Ovis aries: one gene and its partners. The protein of the gene in region 2 purifies or fractionates together with the protein of the main gene of each other region. This does not show direct contact. Links are inferred from orthologs where the notes say so. Each region holds a gene or a part of one and is shown on either strand. Other genes may lie near its edges. The genes, in order: NEDD1, CCT3, TLE2, DCAF7 and WRAP53.

Region 1 (3,514 bases), on a different chromosome or scaffold from region 2:
AAAAGTTTTAACCCCAGCAACACAATAACACAGTAACATACATGGAAGGAAAAATAAACTCAAAAAAGTAAGCTTTTGGCTACACATCTTTATATTCCCTAACAAATCTCACTTCATTCTGAAGCTGCTTATTTTTATCATAAAAGCTCAAAATTAAATTTTGGTAATTACTAATAAACACATTTCTGTAAAGATTTTTTTTTCAAGTTGCTTACCTTAAGAGATCGATGAACTCTTTTTGATTTTAAATCCCAAATATTAACAGTACTATTCAGGCCTCCGCTTACCAAATACATAGACGTTGAATTTAAACTGACACATGTCTGCTTTTGCTATTTAAAAAAAAAAAAGTCATGTTAAGTTAATAGAGACCAGAGCTGACTTTCAATTCTCATCCAACACTTAGTAAGCACATGAAAAACATCTGAGGGAAATGCTATAGACATGTCCATTCTTGTACTAAAGATTCAGCTCTCATCATCTTCCACAAGGATTCAATAGTCTGCAAAGTGTTCAAAATGGCTTTAAGGAAATCAACCAGATTCATGTTCTTTCCACATAAAGGTGGTGACAGAGGAAGCTTAGGAAACCACCAAGTCTCGGAGTCCCTTTAGGGCTTACTTGCCCTGCATATTGTCCCTTTAACAACACCTGCTCTTATACTCCACAGAATATCTCAAATTAAAATCAACCCACAGCTCAGAAAATTCTAAAGGTAGAGGAGACTTTGAAGAATGCCTAGTTTAAACCCTTCAATTTACAGAAGGGGGGAAGTTTTATAAAGAGGACAAGATACTAGTTCCAAGTCACAGTGCCTCTCCCCAAAATGGACCAAGTCTCAAACATCTTGTCATCAGAAACTAAGTCTACACTGTTCCCCCACACTGTAAGGTCCCATTCATCCAGATACTCAAGACAGAAGTTCAGAAGGAACCTTGATTCCTTGTTCTCCCTCCACTCAGTCTATCAGCAAGTTCTCCAAACTCCAACTGTAAAATATACCCTACAGGGGCCCCCCTCTATCTACCGTCACTGCAAGCACCCTGATCCAAAACTTGTCAAAGAACAACAGCAGCCTCCTAACTGGTTGTCTGCCTTCCACTCTTGCTTCCCTACATATCATGTTCTATATAGAGAGTGACCTTTATGAAATGTAAATCAGATCATGTGTGTCTTATTTTAAAATCCTCAGTGGCTTCCAATCACACCTAAATTCCAAACTCATCATCAACCTGGCTTTCATTGCCCTATTCATCTAGCCCTTTCTTAACTGGTCTGTCACCAGTTTCCTCCCCACCCAGTGATTCTCTAGGCACAAGGACCATCTTCCATTCCTTAAATGTAATAACACTATATTTGCCTCCAGACTTCTACACAGCTATTCTTGCCTGGAAAGTTAATTCCCCTGAACCTTGGCTTGAATGACTTCATCTGATCAATAGATATCAACTTAAATACCACAACTTCAGAAGACCCCTTCCCCACCTAATGTAACCTGCTAACTCAGTAACGTATTTCAGCTCTCTGCATTAACAACTTACCACTGTCACTGGGTACTGTTTACTCATTTATTCTGTCTCTCACCAGAATGTCAGTTTCCTTACAGCAAAGACCATACCCATGTTCAATAAATATTTTTAGAACAAATGGCTAAAAATACAGTGGTAACCAAGTTTCTCACAATGAGTATGCATGCATGTCATCTATCTGGTGGTATCATCAGTAACTATGCTACAATGTTGCATGGTTGTTTTTTCCCTATTAACTTTCAGATACACTATATAGTTACATTAATTATTCCTACTCCAGCTGAACACCATAAGGGGGGGGGGGAGGAATAGAAATTAATTCCAAAGCGTACATTTTGTGACTGAAGGCAAATTACCGTAGCTCTAGGCAAGTAATCTCATCTTTCTGAGCCTACATTTCTACCTGTGAGAAATGAAAGATGAGGACCAGATCTACTGTTATTGATAGTCCATGCATTTCAAAAACATCCTCTGCTCAAGAGAGCACCAGATTCTTAAAAGGGTGCAGATGACCCCCTCTCTCTCCCCCAAGGTTTCTTCCAGCTTTGAAATTCTAACCGAGTCAAAATTATTAACAAAAAAAAAATACTGGGGCACAGTACATCAATATTTCAGTATGGTCACTATAATTCTCTTGCAGACATCATTTGAGGAATTGACTTCGGTCTAAATAGACTAATAAAATTTAGAATCTGGTTATTACTGCAGATCAGGAGTTTACCTTTAAATAAAATAGATAAGAATAGCATCCATCAAAGATCAATATATTAAAATTCCAATCAAAAACAACTGAAATTATTCATAAGGGCTTAGAACAAAACCTATGTTTTTAGCTGCTTACCCTAATGAGAGAGGATTTTTTATGTTAATATATTATTAATGCAGGTAATGAACTTAAATAATTAATGGAAATTGGCTATTACAGGAATCCTGTACCCTAAGACAAAAGCAATGGGTAGAACTTTAAAATCTGAAGATAACATCAGGTCAAATTTCTAGGTTATCATATCCATTATCATACTGTCAAGACCAATCTGTCTACTTTAGAGAGGTAAAATACAAAATCAAAGAAAATTAATGTGGACTTTAAATAAAGTTCCACCTTAAACAGTGGCAGAAGTGGAGATCAAAATTGTTTTTGTTTTTTGGCTTTTTATTTGTTTTGGCTGAGTCAGGTCTTAGTTGCAGCATGCAGGGTCTTTTGTCGAGGCATGTGAGACCTAGTTCCTGGACCAGGGATCGAACCTGCATCCCTTGCCCTGGAAGGAGGAGTCTTAACCACTGGACTACCAGGGCAGTCCCAAAATCAAAACTGTTTTGATGTTGATATTTAATTCAACAAATGTTCGATGATCAACTTGGACATGATCTGAAGATCCAAAAATGACTAAGATGTTCTGCCTGCTCTTAAAGAGTACAGTTTACCTTACTGCCCAGTGGTACTCTGGGGATGCAGTTTCACTTCCTGGTCCGGGAACTAGATCCCACATGCCTCAACTCCACTTACTGAGGCTGAAAGGCAAGTGCCATTCCTACCCTCACACATTCTATCTGTCCAGTCTCTATCACCTGTGGGCTGGAACTGATGCTGAGCTCAATCCTACCAGACACCTTTAGGAAAGGACTGCTAGAAATAAAAGGACTGCTAGAAATTCTAAGTCATTTTTATTAATATGTTAGATGAATTTATACTGTGTGGTCCCGCTATGTTCCACTCCAAAGCAAGTGGAGTAGAACAATGACTGATTAGGCCACCTTATCTACTCCAGTGTATAAAATCATGACAATTCATTATGGTTTAGAGTCCACTATAAAACTCTGAAATTTAAAAAAAGAACCACCAACTATATATTCCTTTTTATTTAGATCTTATTTAAAATGGAAACAAATTTCAAGAAGTGTGTGATTGGAAATGAAAAAGCCAGTATTATCCTAAATCAGAGAGATTAACTTATGAAACAAAAGGGTGAGAATATATAGTGAGA
Region 2 (4,263 bases):
AATACAAAACGTGTTAAGCACAAACCAGAGGCTGGTGATTGTGCGTTTCAGGGGAAGGGGCATGGGCAACCCACAGAGCCAGTGTTTTAACAAGGACACTTCTAAAGTAGTAGGGTTGGCAACTAACTTTCAATATAGGGTGTCATATGGCTAGATTCTGTTGTCTTTCCCCCTTTGGGAATGTTTTCTGGATGTGCAAAGGAATAACTTTTCAAAAGGAAAAAAAGGGACACAGCTCTCACAGCTACAGTTTCCCAGCAGCTCACAGGTAACTGAGAGTCCACATATCTGTACTTCCTTCCATGAGAGTGGTTCCACCCCATGCTAGATTATATCCAGGGCTGTTTCATTCTTTCATTCAAAAGGTATTTACTGAATATACCTATCCAGGATCCACAGTGAGTACTAGGAATACAAAAGGGAATTAATATAGTTCTTGTATCCAAGTAACTCAGTCTAGTATGGGAGACAGACACAAACACGCAATATAATATGCACAATATGAGAAGGCCATTAGACACATCTCAGAGAGGGAAGGCTTCTTCCTCCTTACCACCAAAAGGGAAATGTCTTGAAGGAAAGGAAATCAAATTTTCTTCCATTAGATCACAAACAAACACACAAACACAAATACAGGCAAACTATTATAAACAACGCATGCTACCTTGGCAGCATTGATGTTTCCAGATTGCACTTTTCTTCCAGATTCACGCTTTGTGTTCTGGCCTAAAACAGATAAAAACAAAAGGCATGGGAGGGAGATTCAAAAGGGAGGGGATATATGTATACCTATGGTTGATTCAAGTTGAGGTTCAACAGAAAACAACAAAATTCTGTAAAGCAATTATCCTTAAAAAAAAAAAAAAAGGCGACAGACCAGTATTGCTCCACTGTATATAAGCTACTCCCTAATCTTTGAAAATAAGCACACACCCAGGTTTCATGGATGTATACACTGATTAAAGCTTATCGACTTGTACTCTTTAAATCAATTATATCTCAACAAACTATTAAAAAATAAGCACACATACTTATGGCTACTTACTTATTTACTTCAATTCCTGATATAATAAGAAACAATCCACACAGCTTCAACTGTGGAATCTTGGTCATCACTTTCCCTCTAACCAAACACTCGTGTATTTATACTCATGTATTGGATTCTCAAAGGGCTGGTGTCCCTAAAAAAGCATGAATCTCTCCTTTATATAACAAGGGAGAGTTTGGGAGTTTGCATTCTCATACTAGGATATGGTGAACCATACCCACAGTCCCAGCATAAATTATTGACAGTGACCCCCAGTGTGCTGTGGAATGAGAACACACACTCAAAAGTATTGGGGTTTGCAAGATATGGTCACTTCATGCTTGGATATAATCAGAATGCCTCGGGTACCAACTTCCCACCAGTAACAGTGTACTATATACTTTAACAGGGAGCAGAATCAGTTACAGCTGCTAATGCCAAGGATTAACAGGGACCTCAGAAAGGTTGCACAATGCACCACTAACTCACCCTAGGGCCCTTTCAATGAGAGAAAAGCCAATGGCCCTAACTGAACCAATGTATTGTTTTTCTCACTCCTTTCTCCAAACTATGTTTTCCCTACAAGTTGTTGTAAAATTTTCGATCTGGTCCCATCAAATCTAAACACAACTCTCTGGATTTAGATCCCTATTTCAAGCAGTGTTAACTAAAATCCTGCATGGATCTTTCTGATGCATTCATCAGAAAAAATAGTTTGTTTTTTTTTTTCCCCCTGGGTTAAGCGAATGCTTGTCTTAAAATAACTATTTTCCAGGTGTAGAGAAAATAGATAAAATCTCGGAATAGCATTCTTTACACAGAAGATGAGATGGTGAGAAAGGCAAAATGGCTAGTCAAGCATGTCAAGTGATCATGCAGGATGAGGTACAGAAGTTACACAGGATAGAAACATACCAGGGGAAGACAAGTGAAATGGGACTTGAAATCTGGGATGTTCCCGAAGGTAAAAAGAACCAATTAAGAAATCGGGAAAACTCAGTTCTTAAAGTGGGAAAGATTACAACGGAGCAGACATTTGCAGGGATAATTACATCTAATATAATATGATCAGTGAGAGAGGCAGGGTTACATCAGGAACAGGGGTTGACAAAAGGAAATTCAAAACAGTTATCAAAAAAAAAAAAATGGCCAAGGAAACTCGCTGTTTGCCAGACCCTCTTTTAAACAATTGTATCTACTTATCTCATTTAAGCCTCACAATTCTACGAGGAAATACTGTTAACCCTAATAATTAAGATAGAACTATTTCGATTTTTATTTGGCCGGAGCCACACCACTATTAAAGGATAGACCAAGATTATAAAGCTAGGTCAAATTAAAAAACATTTATTCATTCAGCTACACACTGAAAATCGCTCAAGGAAAAACGTGCAGGGGCAAGGATTGGGAGTGAAGAACGGAACGCAGAGTGGGAAGCATCTCTCCGAGGTCACTTGCCTGGAAAGACAAACCCTCGCGTTCGGCGAGGGTAAGGTCAATTTGCGTCTGCGGAAGACAGGGGAATGGGTTAAGAAAAGGGGGAGACGGGAGAAGGGGCTTTCAAAATGAACGACTGGAAGGCTCCGTGGCCGAACCAGGGTGCGACTGGGCTGGGGCAAGGCTGTAAAGTGCGGAAAGGGGGGCTGCGGCGAGGGGAGTCCCTTCCCATCCTTCCCCACAACTCACTAAGCACGAGCACCGGACGATGACCCATCATGGCGGCGCGATGCAGAGCCGGGTACCCAGAGCTGGGGGAACCGGCAGAACCTTCTGGAGAGAGAGAACCAGAGAGAAGACCAGAAAACGCTGCCTCCTCTGGGCTCACACCTAAACCCGCTACTCTCTGAGTCACCACCAATCACTGCATGCATCTTACTGACCGGCACGAAAACACACCAATTGACATTCTTAGCCCCACCCCCTGCGTAAGAACGCAGGGCAAGTTAGATAGAGAAAGCACGATGATAGAAATGCGAGGGCACAGGCGCTTGCGCAATAGGGTGGCCGCTCCCGGCCGCGTGCGGCGCGAACCTCAGCGCAAGCGCCGAGGCTCCGGCAGTTGGCCGGCACGCCACTGCGCATGTGTATCAACTACAAGGGTGGGTGCTGGGGCTGAGGCTTTCGATTAACACCGCAGGTGAGGTCATTAAACTCTGGCGTCTAGGCTTCTCTCGGGCCGCGAAGGTCAAGAAAGGCGTGGCAGTTCCACGCTTTCATTCCAGCCTTAGCAACGGGGAGGCATAGAGGGGCGGGACCTAAACCGGCTGTCGAGAGAAGACCTGGCCGGTTTGATGCCGGGTGAAATGGGAGTTGTAGTCCAATCCGACTGGGCTGAGCGGTGACTGTTCTTCCCGGCGCGCTGGGAATTGTGGTTTATTATCTCTGACTCGTTGCTCTGCGTGGACTTTCCCTTTCTTAGGCAGATGCTTTATTCTGAGGCTGTCAGCGGTACCAGGAGGTGATGGCTTAAGTTTTTCCCCGAGTTGTCCTATTCAAAACAAGTGTTTCCTGTAGTGCTCTCAAGATTTTCTTTCTCCACGCCCATTCCCTCCCGTGCCCTCCTCATCGCCTCAGCTGCAGGTTCATTGGAGATGCTGGAGAGCAAGAGTTTTAAAATAACCCTACAGAATAGGAAAAGGACTGATACTACAGAAATTAAAACGAGAGAACACAGAATATTTGCCCGTTCATAGGAGACTCTTAAGGTTTAGGCGTGGTTAAAGTACTCTTTTGTCCAGAAAAAAAAGGAAATAGCTGTTTTCCAAACTAAAGGAAGGGCCGTGAGACCAAAAACAATTCAAAAACAGTTACTTCTATTTAGCCATAAACTAAGACAGTACATCCTTTCACACTTTTTCCTCTCCAAATTGGAACAGCCTGAGCTCTACTGGGGAGAACTTGAGAAATTGTTAATAGTGAAACAGTAAGATGGGTTGTCAGTCATGAGATACTATGATTTTTTTTCCCCAGGCACCACACCTGTGGATGTTCAGATGGAGCAGCTTCCTAGTCATCCTACTAACAAAAGAGGTGTGTGTCAGATGCCCTGCTTCCTCTCCCTTAAAACCAGACCTTCTTAATTGCCCAGCTTTGGGGAAAATGAAGCTAGTTGTATGTATGGTTTTTTCCTATTACTTAGTCGGAAAGTATTTGTATTTGTTACGCGTTTCCCACTAAATGGAACGTTCTTGTATTCCTAGTGCCTAGAACCGGAGCTATTAAATAGTAGATACTCA
Region 3 (3,691 bases), on a different chromosome or scaffold from region 2:
AGAGGATGCCCGATTACATTTGAATCTTAAACAACACATCACTCCTTAATAGAAGTACGTCCCAAGTATTGCATGGGACATACTCTAACCAGAAGTCCCAAACCTCAGGATCTATTGCCTGATGATCTAAGGTAGAGATGATGTAATAATAATAGGAATAAAGTGCGCAATAAATGTCATGCACTGGAATCACCCTGAAGCCACCCTCTCTTATCTTGTTCCTCATGGAAAAATTGTCCTCCATGAAACCAGCCCCTGGTGCCACAAAGGTTGGGGACCGCTGCTCTAAAGGACAAAGAATTTGTTAGTACCTTGTGGGATATACTTGTACACTAAACAGCATATAATTTATTAGCATAAGTATGTCCCCAAAATGCATGAGATATCATTTATACTATTTTAGTGCATAGATCTCAAATATTGCATGGGATATACTTACACTAATTTTGTTTGTTGTTTTCAGTATTGATATATCCCAAGTAGTTCATGGAACTTACATATATTTAAAACAAACAGAGGGACTTCCCTGTTGGCCCAGTGGCTGCCAATGCAGGGAGCCTGGGTTTAATCCCTAGTCAGGGAACTGGATCCCACATGCCCTAAGTCCTGGCACAGCCAAATACATACATATTTGTTAAAAAATAGATAATGAACTATTTGGGACCCACCTGTACTAAAAATGATTCATGGTTGATCTTAGGTTCAAATGTAACTGAGCACCCTGGTTTTTCTTTTTGTTTTGCTTCTTTCCCCGAATTTTGGCCACGCCACATAGCTTTTGGGATTTTAGTTCCCTAAGCAGGGATTAAACCTGGTCCCTCAGCAGTGAAAGCACAGTCTAACCACTGGACAAGTAGGGAACTCCCTGGGCACCCTATTTTTATCTGACCACCCTCTCTTGGGGCTCCCCTTTCTTGAAGGTCAGTTAGAGCTCTTTGGGACCTTGGGTTTACCATCTGGCACTTGGCGGGAAGGCTGGAGCCTCAGTAAAGGGGCTTCCTGTCCGCCAGGAGAGGGCAGAGGTGCAGGAAAGGAAGGGAGAGGCCAGACCAGGTTGCCCTGTCTCTGTCTGCCACCCCTAGCCCTGGCTTCTTCCAGTCCACCACCCTCCTGAACTCACCCTCCTCCCCCAGGGCGGTGGTTCGTGAGCACAGGGAAGGACAACCTGCTCAATGCCTGGAGGACGCCGTACGGGGCCAGCATCTTCCAGGTACTGCATGTCTGAAGTCTCCACCCCACCACCACCACTGCAGGACACCAGGTGCCCCAGGACCCAGAGAGGGGTGGGGGTTGAACAGGGGAGCGTCCTCACCAGCCTGAAGGCCACATCTGTGCACAAACTGTGTTATTAGTTGTGAAGTTGCTCAGTCGTATCCGACTCTTTGCAACCCCATGGACTGTAGTCTACCAGGCTCCTCCATCCATGGGATTTTCCAGGCAGGAATACTGGAGTGGGTTGCCATTTCCTTCTCTAGGGGATCTTCCCAACCCACGGATTGAACCTGGGTCTCCTGCATTGTAGGCAGACACTTTACCGTCTGAGCCACCAGGGAAGTGTGGTGATAAATCCATATAAAATTCACCATCTTAACCATTTTAAAATGCAGGGCTCAGTGGCATTAAGTACATTCATACTGTCCTATAACCATCCCTACCATCATCTCCAGAACTTTCTCATCTTCCCATACTGAAACTCTGTCCCCATGAGACACTGACTTCCCATCCCCTGGCCCCACCGTCTACTTCCTGTCTCTGTGGATTTGATGACTCATGTGAGTGCGATCACACAAAATTTATTCTTCTGTGTCTCTTCTCTCACTGAGCATCACATCCCCCAAGGTCCATCCATGATGTAGCAGGTGTCAGAACCTCCTTCCATTTTAAGGAATATAGAGACTAATATTCTACTGTGTGGATGGACCATACTGTGTTCATTCATCACCTGTTGATGGGTACTAGGGTTGTCTCCACTTCTGGGCTGCTGTGAATTGCGCTGCTGTGAACATTCATGTACATTCTCCTGTGCATGCCTGTTTTCATTTCTCCTGGGCAGATATCTTGGAATGGAATTGCTGAGAGTTGTTTAATCTTTGAAGGAACTGCCAGACTCTTTCCCAAATTTCTTATTCCCACTGGCAATATGGAAGGGTTCCGATTTCTCTCCATCCTCCACAACACTTACTCTGGCATCTTTCTTAGAGCTATCCTGCTCGATGAGGAACAGTTTTTACATTTTTTAAAGGACTGTGGGGGAAAAAATAGTAGATGATGTAACACTGACTGATTTGGTCCTTGCACTTACCGGCCAGAGCTTACTGGACTTAAATGAGCTTTCAGGTCAAAGCCTGAAATTGTATTGGGCCCCTTTCAGTAGTTTGCCGAGGGAATTCCCTGGTAGTCCATTGCTTAGGACTCTGTGCTCTCACTGCCCAGAGCTTAGGTTCAATCCCTGGTCAGGGAACTAAGATCCCTCAAGCTGCGTGGTCAAAAAAAAGAAACAGTTTGCTGGTGTAGGTCATCCTACTTTTAAGCCTTAGCTCTCTTCTGTGCTGTGTGACCTCATGTCTGATACACACCCTCTCTAAGCTTCCCAGAAGATGGTGGTTCTGCTGTTCTAGGGAACTGAGGTCTGGCTCTTCCCAGGAGCATCATCACTCTTCTCTGGAAGAACTGTTACCCTCCTTCTCTCCTCACGGCTAGGCTCCCCATGTTGGGCCCCCAAGTCCTGTCTCAGCTCCGGCCTTGACCATAGCTCACCCTTGGGGACAGGTGCTGCCCCAGTTGCCTTGTGTCTTTCCTCTGAATGTGAAGGTGGTCAGGAGCATGAGCCAGACTGTGCTGGCCTTGGCTGTGCCTCACTCTCCCCTCCTCTGCCCCCTCCTGTCCACAGTCCAAGGAGTCCTCCTCTGTGCTCAGTTGTGACATCTCCGGGAACAACAAGTACATCGTGACAGGCTCTGGGGACAAGAAGGCCACCGTGTATGAGGTGGTCTACTGAGACCCCCTTCTTCCTGCACCCCTGGCCTGACTCCCAGGGGAGGGTCATTCTGAACCTCCCCTCTAGTCCTACCACGAGCCCTAAATCTCATCCATGCTCTGGCTGAGCCCTCGTGTCCTCCCCTGCTGGATGTGGGGCCAGATGCACAGGAGGACCTTTGGGAAATAAATGTATTTATCACAACTGCCTTCTTGTTTTGGGCTGGGGAACTGGGGACATTGCTCATCCTGGAGGGACAGGGTGAGCAAATGGTGATTTCAGAACCTTACTTAGTGGATGGAAAAGTGCTGGCCAGCAAGAGCCACTCCCTGTAAACCAGTCTCTCCTCCTTGGCACAGCTGACACTGGGGCTGCATAATTCCCGGTTGGGGAGCCGTGCCAGGGCCTGTGGGGTGCTGAGCAGCATCCCAGCCCCCACCCACTCAATGCCAGGAGCACAGATGTCGCCAGACATGGTCCCCTGGGGCTTAGACTCACCCCTAGGGAGTAGAAGCCCTAGTCTAATGGGACACGAGTATCTTGCGAAGGACTGAGGACCTACACCTGGGGCTGTGCAGGCAAGGCTTGGGAGCATCTCTCTATGAGATCAGAAGAGACTGGAGCAGGAAGAAGGGCTCCAGAGACTTCCCTGGCAGTCCACAGGTTAAGACTCCACGTTTCCACTGCAGGGGGCATGGGTTCCATGCCTGGTTG
Region 4 (3,514 bases), on a different chromosome or scaffold from region 2:
ATAATTTTAGGGTAACACTTACCTTGAAGTATGTTTACTTTTTTGGGAGCAGGAAGGCAAGAAGAGGGGGAATTTCCTGGCAGACAAAACTAATTGATTAACTCTTCTGTAAACTTGTTTTATGAATTTCTAGTATGTTCACTTAATACTTATATGTGTAATACTATTTGGAATTGAATATGGTTAACTTTGATGGTGATGTTTCTCCTATGTGTATTGGAAGAGCTGAAGGGAGTGAGCTCTAATTGTATTTACAGAGCCTTCTTCTGAGTGGTTTTGTAAAATGGTCATAAATCTTTTAACTCCCAGAGCCACCACGTGCTGGTCCTCCACCAGGGAAATCACAGGATGTCTCCTGTGGGTAGTGTTTCCTTTTCCCTCCAACTCCTGTGCAGCGAGGAGTGTTAATGTCTGTACAGATTAAAAGGATGCGTAGACATTAGGTGAGAGCTGTGAGGTTGTCCACAGAAGTTGGTGACTAGATTATCATTCTTAGTGAGAGGTCATCCTTCAGCTTTCTGTGCTCCCAGCGCCGAGATCTGTTAAAGTCTGCTTGACTGGGTCACCATGAAACAAGGGGCAGAGAAAGAGAGCTTGACCTGCCGGGAACGCCAGGAAGGACGTCCTGGCACCCAGTGGAGCAAGTTGCTACATTTTGGTTCTGTGACACTTAGCATGTGTTCTCTGTCAGGGTCCAACCCGGAAAACTAGAGCTACTCCGCATGTTTAACCTGAGGGGATTTAATGAGGAGATGGCTCACACAGCTGCTGCTGCTGCTGCTGCTGCTAAGTCGCGTCAGTCGTGTCCGACTATGTGCGACCCCAGAGACGGCAGCCCACCAGGCTCCCCCGTCCCTGGGATTCTCCAGGCAAGAACACTGGAGTGGGTTGCCATTTCCTTCTCCAGTGCATGAAAGTGAAAAGTGAAAGTGAAGTCGCTCAGTCGTGTCCGACTCTTAGCAAACCCATGGACTGCAGCCCACCAGTCTCCTCCATCCATGGGATTTTCCAGGCAAGAGTACTGGAATGGGGTGCCAGATGATGGTAAAGATGCCAGATGATGGTAAAGATGATGGTAAAGCTGAGGAGCCACACTGGCCGCAGTGAGGGCGTCTGGGCAAGAAGAACAGCGAGTTTAACAGCCAGCAGGCCCTGAACCAACACCCTGGCCTCAAAGAAATGAACCTCAGGATGGTTGTCCGGAGAGAAACATGACACCTCCCAGCACCTTTGATTTTTCTCTGTCCGCATCTCTGTTGAAGTACAGACTTGCTCGGAGGTTCTCATTGCTGCTGGCGGGTTGGTGCAGAGGAGGGTAGCGTGTGTCTGGGAGTTGTCGCCCGCTCTTGGCTTCTGATGAAATATGTGGGTGGAACACAGAGGAAGGAGCAGTCAGAGTGGCTCTACACGCTTGGCTGTACTGCCCGTGGGCACCTTATTGCTTAGTGATGCTGCCGTGGTGTCCCTGTGCCTGGGAGTCAGAGCGCCAGCTGTGGGTGCACGTGTGGATAAACAGTGCCGGCCAGTGCCTAGGTCTGTCGGGTCTTGGAATGGCCAGCCTAGTTTCCTGCTGAACCACTCCTCGTTCCCACCGTAGAGAGGGAAGTGCAATTTCTTCATTGTCAGCCAGAGGAAGGGCAATTTATGATGTTGATTTGAAACAGATGCTTGTTAGTCAGTGTCCCCCGGAAGGTAGAACCTCAGGAAGGCTGGAGTCACAGTGTGAGGGACAGGTTCCACTCATGTCTCCCCAGAAGTCAGCTCTTACAGTCCTTGACCCCAGGAGATGGGTTTTGTTTGGCATTTTTGTTTTTTGTTGTTCAACATTTTGTTTTTCTTTTTTTCTCTCTCCGCTTGTCTGGCTCTGGCTTTGTCGGTCTCTCTTTGTCCCTTTCTTTCTCTGAAGCCCTCTGTTGCTCTCTGCCTGTTTTCTCATAGACGTTAGTGCAATACAAAGTTTGCAGCAGGTAATAAATGCATGCGAAGAGTTGACTCATTGCAAAAGACTCTGATGCTGGGAGGGATTGGGGGCAGGAGGAGAAGGGGATGACAGAGGATGAGATGGCTGGATGGCATCACTGACTCGATGGACGCGAGTCTGAGTGAACTCCAGGAGTTGGTGATGGACAGGGAGGCCTGGTGTGCTGCGATTCATGGGGTCGCAAAGAATCGGACACGACTGAGTGACTGAACTGAACTGAATAAATGCAGAAGAAAATAATTCAAAACCTAAGTTGTTATACTTATGAACACAAACCAACTAGGAGAAACAGCATTTCCTAGGAGAGCAATATTAACCCTCTTTGTAAATAAAGGAATACCCGAGCCTCCCATGATTCAGAGGGGCTCTTACCTCTTTCTTGCACATGGGTCTCAGGTCCAGGTTTCACAGCAGAACTGTGGTCAGAGGAGGGCCACTTCTGCCTCTCCAGTCGATGACCTCAGCCTTCCTGTGGTCATGGACTGCTCTGATTGTACATAGATGAAAGCCACAAGGGCCAGGAAATAAATGTCTCAAGTCTCGTAACAGAGCGGCAGGAGACAGCCACTGGTTCTGGCTTCATTGAGCCTGTCCAAGCCGACCGGATAGAATACTTGCTGAGTTATCTGTGCTCTGTTGGTCAGCAGGGTGTGTGCTGTGTTACCGCGGGAGGTGGAGGAAGAATACTTGGAAGGCAGCAAGTGAGAGGAAGCCTACCAGCTTCCACTGTAGGATGGTCGTCACTGTTTGGGAAATCGTTGGTGTTAGCACCCTCAGTTTCCAGTCCTCGCAGGCGTGGTGTGGCTTTATTTACCTCCTTCTAAGTCATGAGCAGGGGTTTAGATGAACCAGGGGACAGTAGGTTTCCCTGTGATATGAAAAGGAGGTAACTGACCTGAATCTGACAGTTGCTTCTTACTCACCAACAGGTCTACGACATTGCATTTAGCCGGGCAGGGGGTGGCAGGGACATGTTCGCCTCTGTGGGTGCTGATGGCTCGGTGCGGATGTTTGACCTCCGTCACCTAGAACACAGCACCATCATTTACGAAGACCCACAGCATCACCCACTGCTGCGCCTCTGCTGGAACAAGCAGGACCCCAACTACTTGGCCACTATGGCTATGGATGGAATGGAGGTGAGAACCCCACTTCGGGCTAACCTAGGCCCTGCCACTCCGCTCCAGCCCGGCTTAGTGGATCCAGGAGAGCGGTTCTCAGCTGATGGCAGTTTTCTCCCCAGAGGATTTTTGGATCCACCTGGAGCCGTTTTGGATTGTCCCAACTTCGGAGGGGGTGGGGGGTGCAAGAAGGGGTGGTGCTCCTAGTGTCTGGGAGTTGGAGGCCTGTGGTGCCCAGGACCACTCCCCGTAACACACAGCACAGCGTTGCCCCACCCCAATGTCAGGAGTGCCGAAACTGAGAAAACCTGACCTAGAGTAAGGGCCGTGTGTCGAGAACTTGTAATACATAGAGAGCTGGACTCAGAGCCAAGAAAAGCAGTATCTAAAAAGTCAACCAAATCATTCATGC
Region 5 (4,210 bases), on a different chromosome or scaffold from region 2:
CACCGTCCTGGGATGCACGCTCCGAGGTCGGACGCTAGATGACCCCGGAGACCAGCGGCCACTGCGGCCAGGATGGTGGCTCTGGACTTTTGAAGAGCTCAAAACTTTTAGCGCCAGTCCGGAGCACGTGGGAGGGGAAAATCCCAATCCCAGCAACCCTCGCGAGGCTCCTGGCACAAAGCTGGATAGTCGCCATGACAAGTAAGGGCAAGCAATTCCCCTGCGGGCGGAGGCGAGGGGAAAGGAGAGTAGGAGAGGAGAGTGCGGGGAAAGTCAGGATTCTCGCCATATTGGTAGTGTAGCTAGTGACCGTTTGGATAGGGGAAGTTCGACAAGCGAAAACCATAACGGCCGAATTGGTGGAAACCATTTTGGAAGGTTTCTGCCATTGTTTCATATATGGTGAAAGGAAGAAAGCCTTTGCACTTGCATTCTCTGACTGGAACACTCCTCTCCTAGATAGCTGGATAGTTTTTACGCATCAACTAAACTGTCAACTTTTAGAAAGGCCTTCCATAATGTCCCTATCTAACGTATACCTCCATATGCGCTATATTACACCATCTTAATTATTTTCACACCCCTATCACTTTCTGACCGAGAAGGCAATGGCACCCCACTCCAGTACTCTTTCCTGGAAAATCCCATGGATGGAGGAGCCTGGTAGGCTGCAGTCCATGGGGTCGCTAAGAATCGAACACGACTGAGCGACTTCCCTTTCACTTTTCATTTTCATGCATTGGAGAAGGAAATGGCAACCCATTCCAGTGTTCTTGCCCGGAGAATCCCGGGGACGGGGGAGCCTGGTGGGCTTCCGTCTATGGGGTCGCACAGAGTCGGACACGACTGAAGCGATTTAGCAGCAGCAGCATCACTTTCTGAAGTGATTTGTTCCTTGCCTTCAATACATAGCAACCTAAGACTTAGAAGGGCAGAGACCTTGTCTACAATCTTATTGATTGTTGTTTCCCAGTACCTATTACAGTACTGGGTAGCAAGTAAGAGTTCAATAATAAATATTTATTGAATGAATGAAAAGAGACTGAGGTCTGAAAAATTTAGCTAATAAGATGCAAAACCTGTAACATCTAATAGCGCTGGCGCCCTCTGCCGGTTGGAAAGGAGAGTAGATGCTTTAAGAACGATCGCCGAAGACCGCAGGGGGAGCTCAAGCACTTCCCGTCGAGGAGGAAGCTTTCGGACTACAGCTCCCAGCAGCCACTTCAAACTTCCCAGGGCCCCAGGGCTTGACGGGAACCCGTGACCTGTTACATTCCTACCCCTCCCCTCCCTTGGGTTGCGCGCGAAGTCTGATCAGGGATGCGGATGTCCAATGGAAAGGTGGACCCAAATCTCGCGAGAACTGGTGGCACGTAGCTACCGACTAGGCTTAGGAACGCTGTTTATTCGCTGGGCCTTGTGCCCCCTCCAGGGAGGAGGAATACACTGGAGCATTTTTCCGGTTCTGCATCCCAATCCCTGCGAACTTTGAAGCGGTCTCGGCTGCTCCGCGGGCCCAGCCCCTGGTAGTCGACGGGAAGAGGGCTGCCTGGCCGCGGCTGATGTCTGCCGCGCTTCCTCTGCAGTATGAAGACGCCGGAGGCTCCACCATTAGCTCCAGACTGCCTTCCTTCAGACCAGGCCCCAGCTCCAGCCTGTCTCTCTCATCAGGCTTCCCCGATGGATAAAAATACGGACCCTGAACTGATGCCGCCGCTACGCGATGGGGATGATCTGCCCCAGGTGTCCTCAGATCCCATGGCTGGCTTAGCTCTGTCCCAGGAGCTGGAGGAAGGGGTCCCAGCTTCTCTCTCCACTCCCCTGGAAACAGGGTTTGGTCCTCCTAGTGAGTTGAGCAGTCGAGTCGAGGAGAAAGAACTTTCTGAAAATGTGAGCCTTCCTGCAGAAGAAACAAACAGGCCAGAGTTGGGGCCCGGAGAAGACGTGGAAGGTGTGTCTGAAGAACTCAGTCCAGAGGATGAGGGATACACGTAAGTGGTGCTAGCAGTTGGCTCAGGAGTCTGAGGAGATTGGGAGAGTGAGGTAATCTCATAGGCCAGTCCTCAGCCCCATTTCTCCGGGCTCATTTCCACTTCGCTTTGGCGACCCAGGTTTGTTGTCTACCCCCCATCTTCCTTACAGCATTTGGAACTACAACTTCTCCCAGGTACCTCGGTTTCTCAGTGGTTCTTGGTCAGAGTTCATCACCCAACCTGAAAACTTCTTGAAAGGCTGTAAGTGGTAAGTAAGGATTATAGGGCAGCGAGAAAACCACGCCCAGTTATCTGGGAGAAGGATCTACCATGGTGTGAGAAGGATCTTCAGTTGCGTTTAGGGTTGTGTGTCTTCTCTCCTCAAAGTCCTAGGGGTGTTTACCTATCCTAGAGGTCAGCTCAGCCCTAGCCCTGCACTTGGAAAATCTAGGTCTGTCCAGCTTTCTAACTCTTTCATCCTCCTAGGGCCCCTGATGGTTCCTGCATCTTGACCAATAGTGCTGATAATATTCTGCGGATTTATAACCTGCCCCCAGAGCTGTACAATGAAGGGGAGCAACTGGAATATGCAGAAATGGTAAGGGCAGGGGCTAAGAGTTAAGTGCCGCTTCATCAGACATTGCACATTCAAGGCCTTCCTGTAGATGGAGAAAGAACAGTCCACATGTTTCCTGTTCTCAGGCAGGACACTTCTTCGCCATGAGTTTCCACAAGTAATATTTCTACCCTGAATTCTGAAGTCACTTAAAAAGATGTTTGTCCTTTAGTTAGGAATATGTGTTTCCTGTAAGAGTAGTGGCTTTCTCACTGTGGTTTTTAATTGACTTACAGAGTTGTGTTGAATGACCACCAGTAGTCACTTACTGTGTTTGGTATTGGGGTAAAGTGATGAATGAGGCAAAGAGCTGGTTTGCTTTTTTGTGTGGGAGACAGACAACAAATGTGTAAACCAATAAATAATGAAGTTCTTTATAGATAATAATAAGTCTGTGAAGGAAATAAATAAATGCTATGAAGGAAATAAACAACAAAGAGAGACTAACTAGAGGATGCCGCTTTATTTCTACCTATTTGTATTTTTGAATAGTGTCATTTTATTTAGGACTTCCCTGGTGGCTCAGATGGTAAAGCATCTGCCTACAATGCGGGAGACCCAGGTTCGATCCATTTTATTTACCTATTTATTTAAACTTTATTTATTTGGCTGTGCCAGATCTTAGTTGTGGCACGCAGGGTCTTTTAAATGTGGCGTGTTGGATCTAGTTTCCTGACCAGGGATTGAACCCAGGCCCCCTGCATTGGGAGCTCAGAGTTTTAGCCACTGGACCACTGGGGAAGTCCCGAGGATGCTGCTTTAGATTAAAAAAAAGGTCAGGGGAGGGGCTCTCTGAAGAAGGGGCATTTGAGCTGATATCTGAAGGATGACGAGATCAGTCATGTGAAGTTTTCCAAGAAAAGGCAAAAATGCTATTATACAAAGACCTAGAGTGGGAAAGAGCCTTGTGTGTTCAAGCAACAGAAAGCAAGCCAGTACGCTTGGACCAAGGCCAGTGAGGGGGAAAGCGTGGTGAAGATGGCAAGGTGTCTGGCAGCCACATCTTGTGAGTAGGGCATTTGGAGTGTTTTGAGGAAGCTGTGGGAGAGATTAAAAGAGAGGAGTGAAATGATGGCTGAAATCTAGAGAATGGATTGTAAGTGGGCAAGAGTGGAAATTCATCTGGATGTGTATCCCACAGTCCAGGTAAAAAATGATGTTGGCTTGTGCTGGTGTGGTGTCAGGAGAGATAGAGGTGGGTGGTTTTGAAGTATATTTCTTAGGACTTGGAAGTCAATTGGGTGGATAGGGATACAGTTTACTCAGAGGATATGAAGAAGTGTTGAGACAGAGGTAAGGATTTTTAGATACTTTAAATGTGAAATGTAAATCTAAGGAGGGACTTGGAGAAGGGTGCTGGGGATATACGTTGAAAGTGGGAGAGCATGTCGATGGTATCTTGGAATTGAGGATGGAGTCAATCTCAAGAGAGAGTGGAGATGGAGAAGAAGGCTCAAGCAGATGGAGCGCTACGGCGCATGGAGATGGGTACAGGAGAAGTTACAAAAGTGGAGGCCAAAATCACGTCTAATGATTCTGATCATGTCTAGCCCTGTTGAGAGTGAGGGCAGATTTAGAAAAGGACCGTAGAAAACGTTAATGACTTTAAGAAAAGCACTTT

Evidence for each region.
Region 1: the proteins of CCT3 (region 2) and NEDD1 purify together in Homo sapiens (affinity purification with mass spectrometry; 3 studies listed by BioGRID and IntAct, with this or other methods). This does not show direct contact. The link is inferred for Ovis aries from reciprocal best matches to the Homo sapiens genes CCT3 and NEDD1.
Region 3: the proteins of CCT3 (region 2) and TLE2 purify together in Homo sapiens (affinity purification with mass spectrometry; 3 studies listed by BioGRID and IntAct, with this or other methods). This does not show direct contact. The link is inferred for Ovis aries from reciprocal best matches to the Homo sapiens genes CCT3 and TLE2.
Region 4: the proteins of CCT3 (region 2) and DCAF7 purify together in Homo sapiens (affinity purification with mass spectrometry; 4 studies listed by BioGRID and IntAct, counting the BioPlex papers as one, with this or other methods). This does not show direct contact. The link is inferred for Ovis aries from reciprocal best matches to the Homo sapiens genes CCT3 and DCAF7.
Region 5: the proteins of CCT3 (region 2) and WRAP53 purify together in Homo sapiens (co-immunoprecipitation; 3 studies listed by BioGRID and IntAct, with this or other methods). This does not show direct contact. The link is inferred for Ovis aries from reciprocal best matches to the Homo sapiens genes CCT3 and WRAP53.

The regions. Positions count from the first base shown.
Region 1 is NC_056056.1:166,666,734-166,670,247, reverse strand, and holds part of NEDD1 (protein NEDD1), read right to left. Parts: intron 333-3,514; coding exon 216-332; intron 1-215. UniProt on the Homo sapiens protein: Required for mitosis progression. Promotes the nucleation of microtubules from the spindle.
Region 2 is NC_056054.1:106,316,187-106,320,449, forward strand, and holds the start of CCT3 (T-complex protein 1 subunit gamma), read right to left. Parts: upstream 2,810-4,263; 5' UTR 2,745-2,809; coding exon 2,714-2,744; intron 727-2,713; coding exon 665-726; intron 1-664. Other genes in the region: TSACC (TSSK6-activating co-chaperone protein), read left to right, coding at 4,021-4,057. UniProt on the Homo sapiens protein: Component of the chaperonin-containing T-complex (TRiC), a molecular chaperone complex that assists the folding of actin, tubulin and other proteins upon ATP hydrolysis.
Region 3 is NC_056058.1:18,564,975-18,568,665, forward strand, and holds the end of TLE2 (transducin-like enhancer protein 2), read left to right. Parts: intron 1-1,133; coding exon 1,134-1,210; intron 1,211-2,890; coding exon 2,891-2,998; 3' UTR 2,999-3,181; downstream 3,182-3,691.
Region 4 is NC_056064.1:47,618,359-47,621,872, forward strand, and holds part of DCAF7 (DDB1- and CUL4-associated factor 7), read left to right. Parts: intron 1-2,910; coding exon 2,911-3,120; intron 3,121-3,514. UniProt on the Homo sapiens protein: Involved in craniofacial development. Acts upstream of the EDN1 pathway and is required for formation of the upper jaw equivalent, the palatoquadrate. The activity required for EDN1 pathway function differs between the first and second arches.
Region 5 is NC_056064.1:27,207,184-27,211,393, forward strand, and holds the start of WRAP53 (telomerase Cajal body protein 1), read left to right. Parts: upstream 1-1,401; 5' UTR 1,402-1,587; coding exon 1,588-1,991; intron 1,992-2,142; coding exon 2,143-2,241; intron 2,242-2,459; coding exon 2,460-2,571; intron 2,572-4,210. UniProt on the Homo sapiens protein: RNA chaperone that plays a key role in telomere maintenance and RNA localization to Cajal bodies. Specifically recognizes and binds the Cajal body box (CAB box) present in both small Cajal body RNAs (scaRNAs) and telomerase RNA template component (TERC).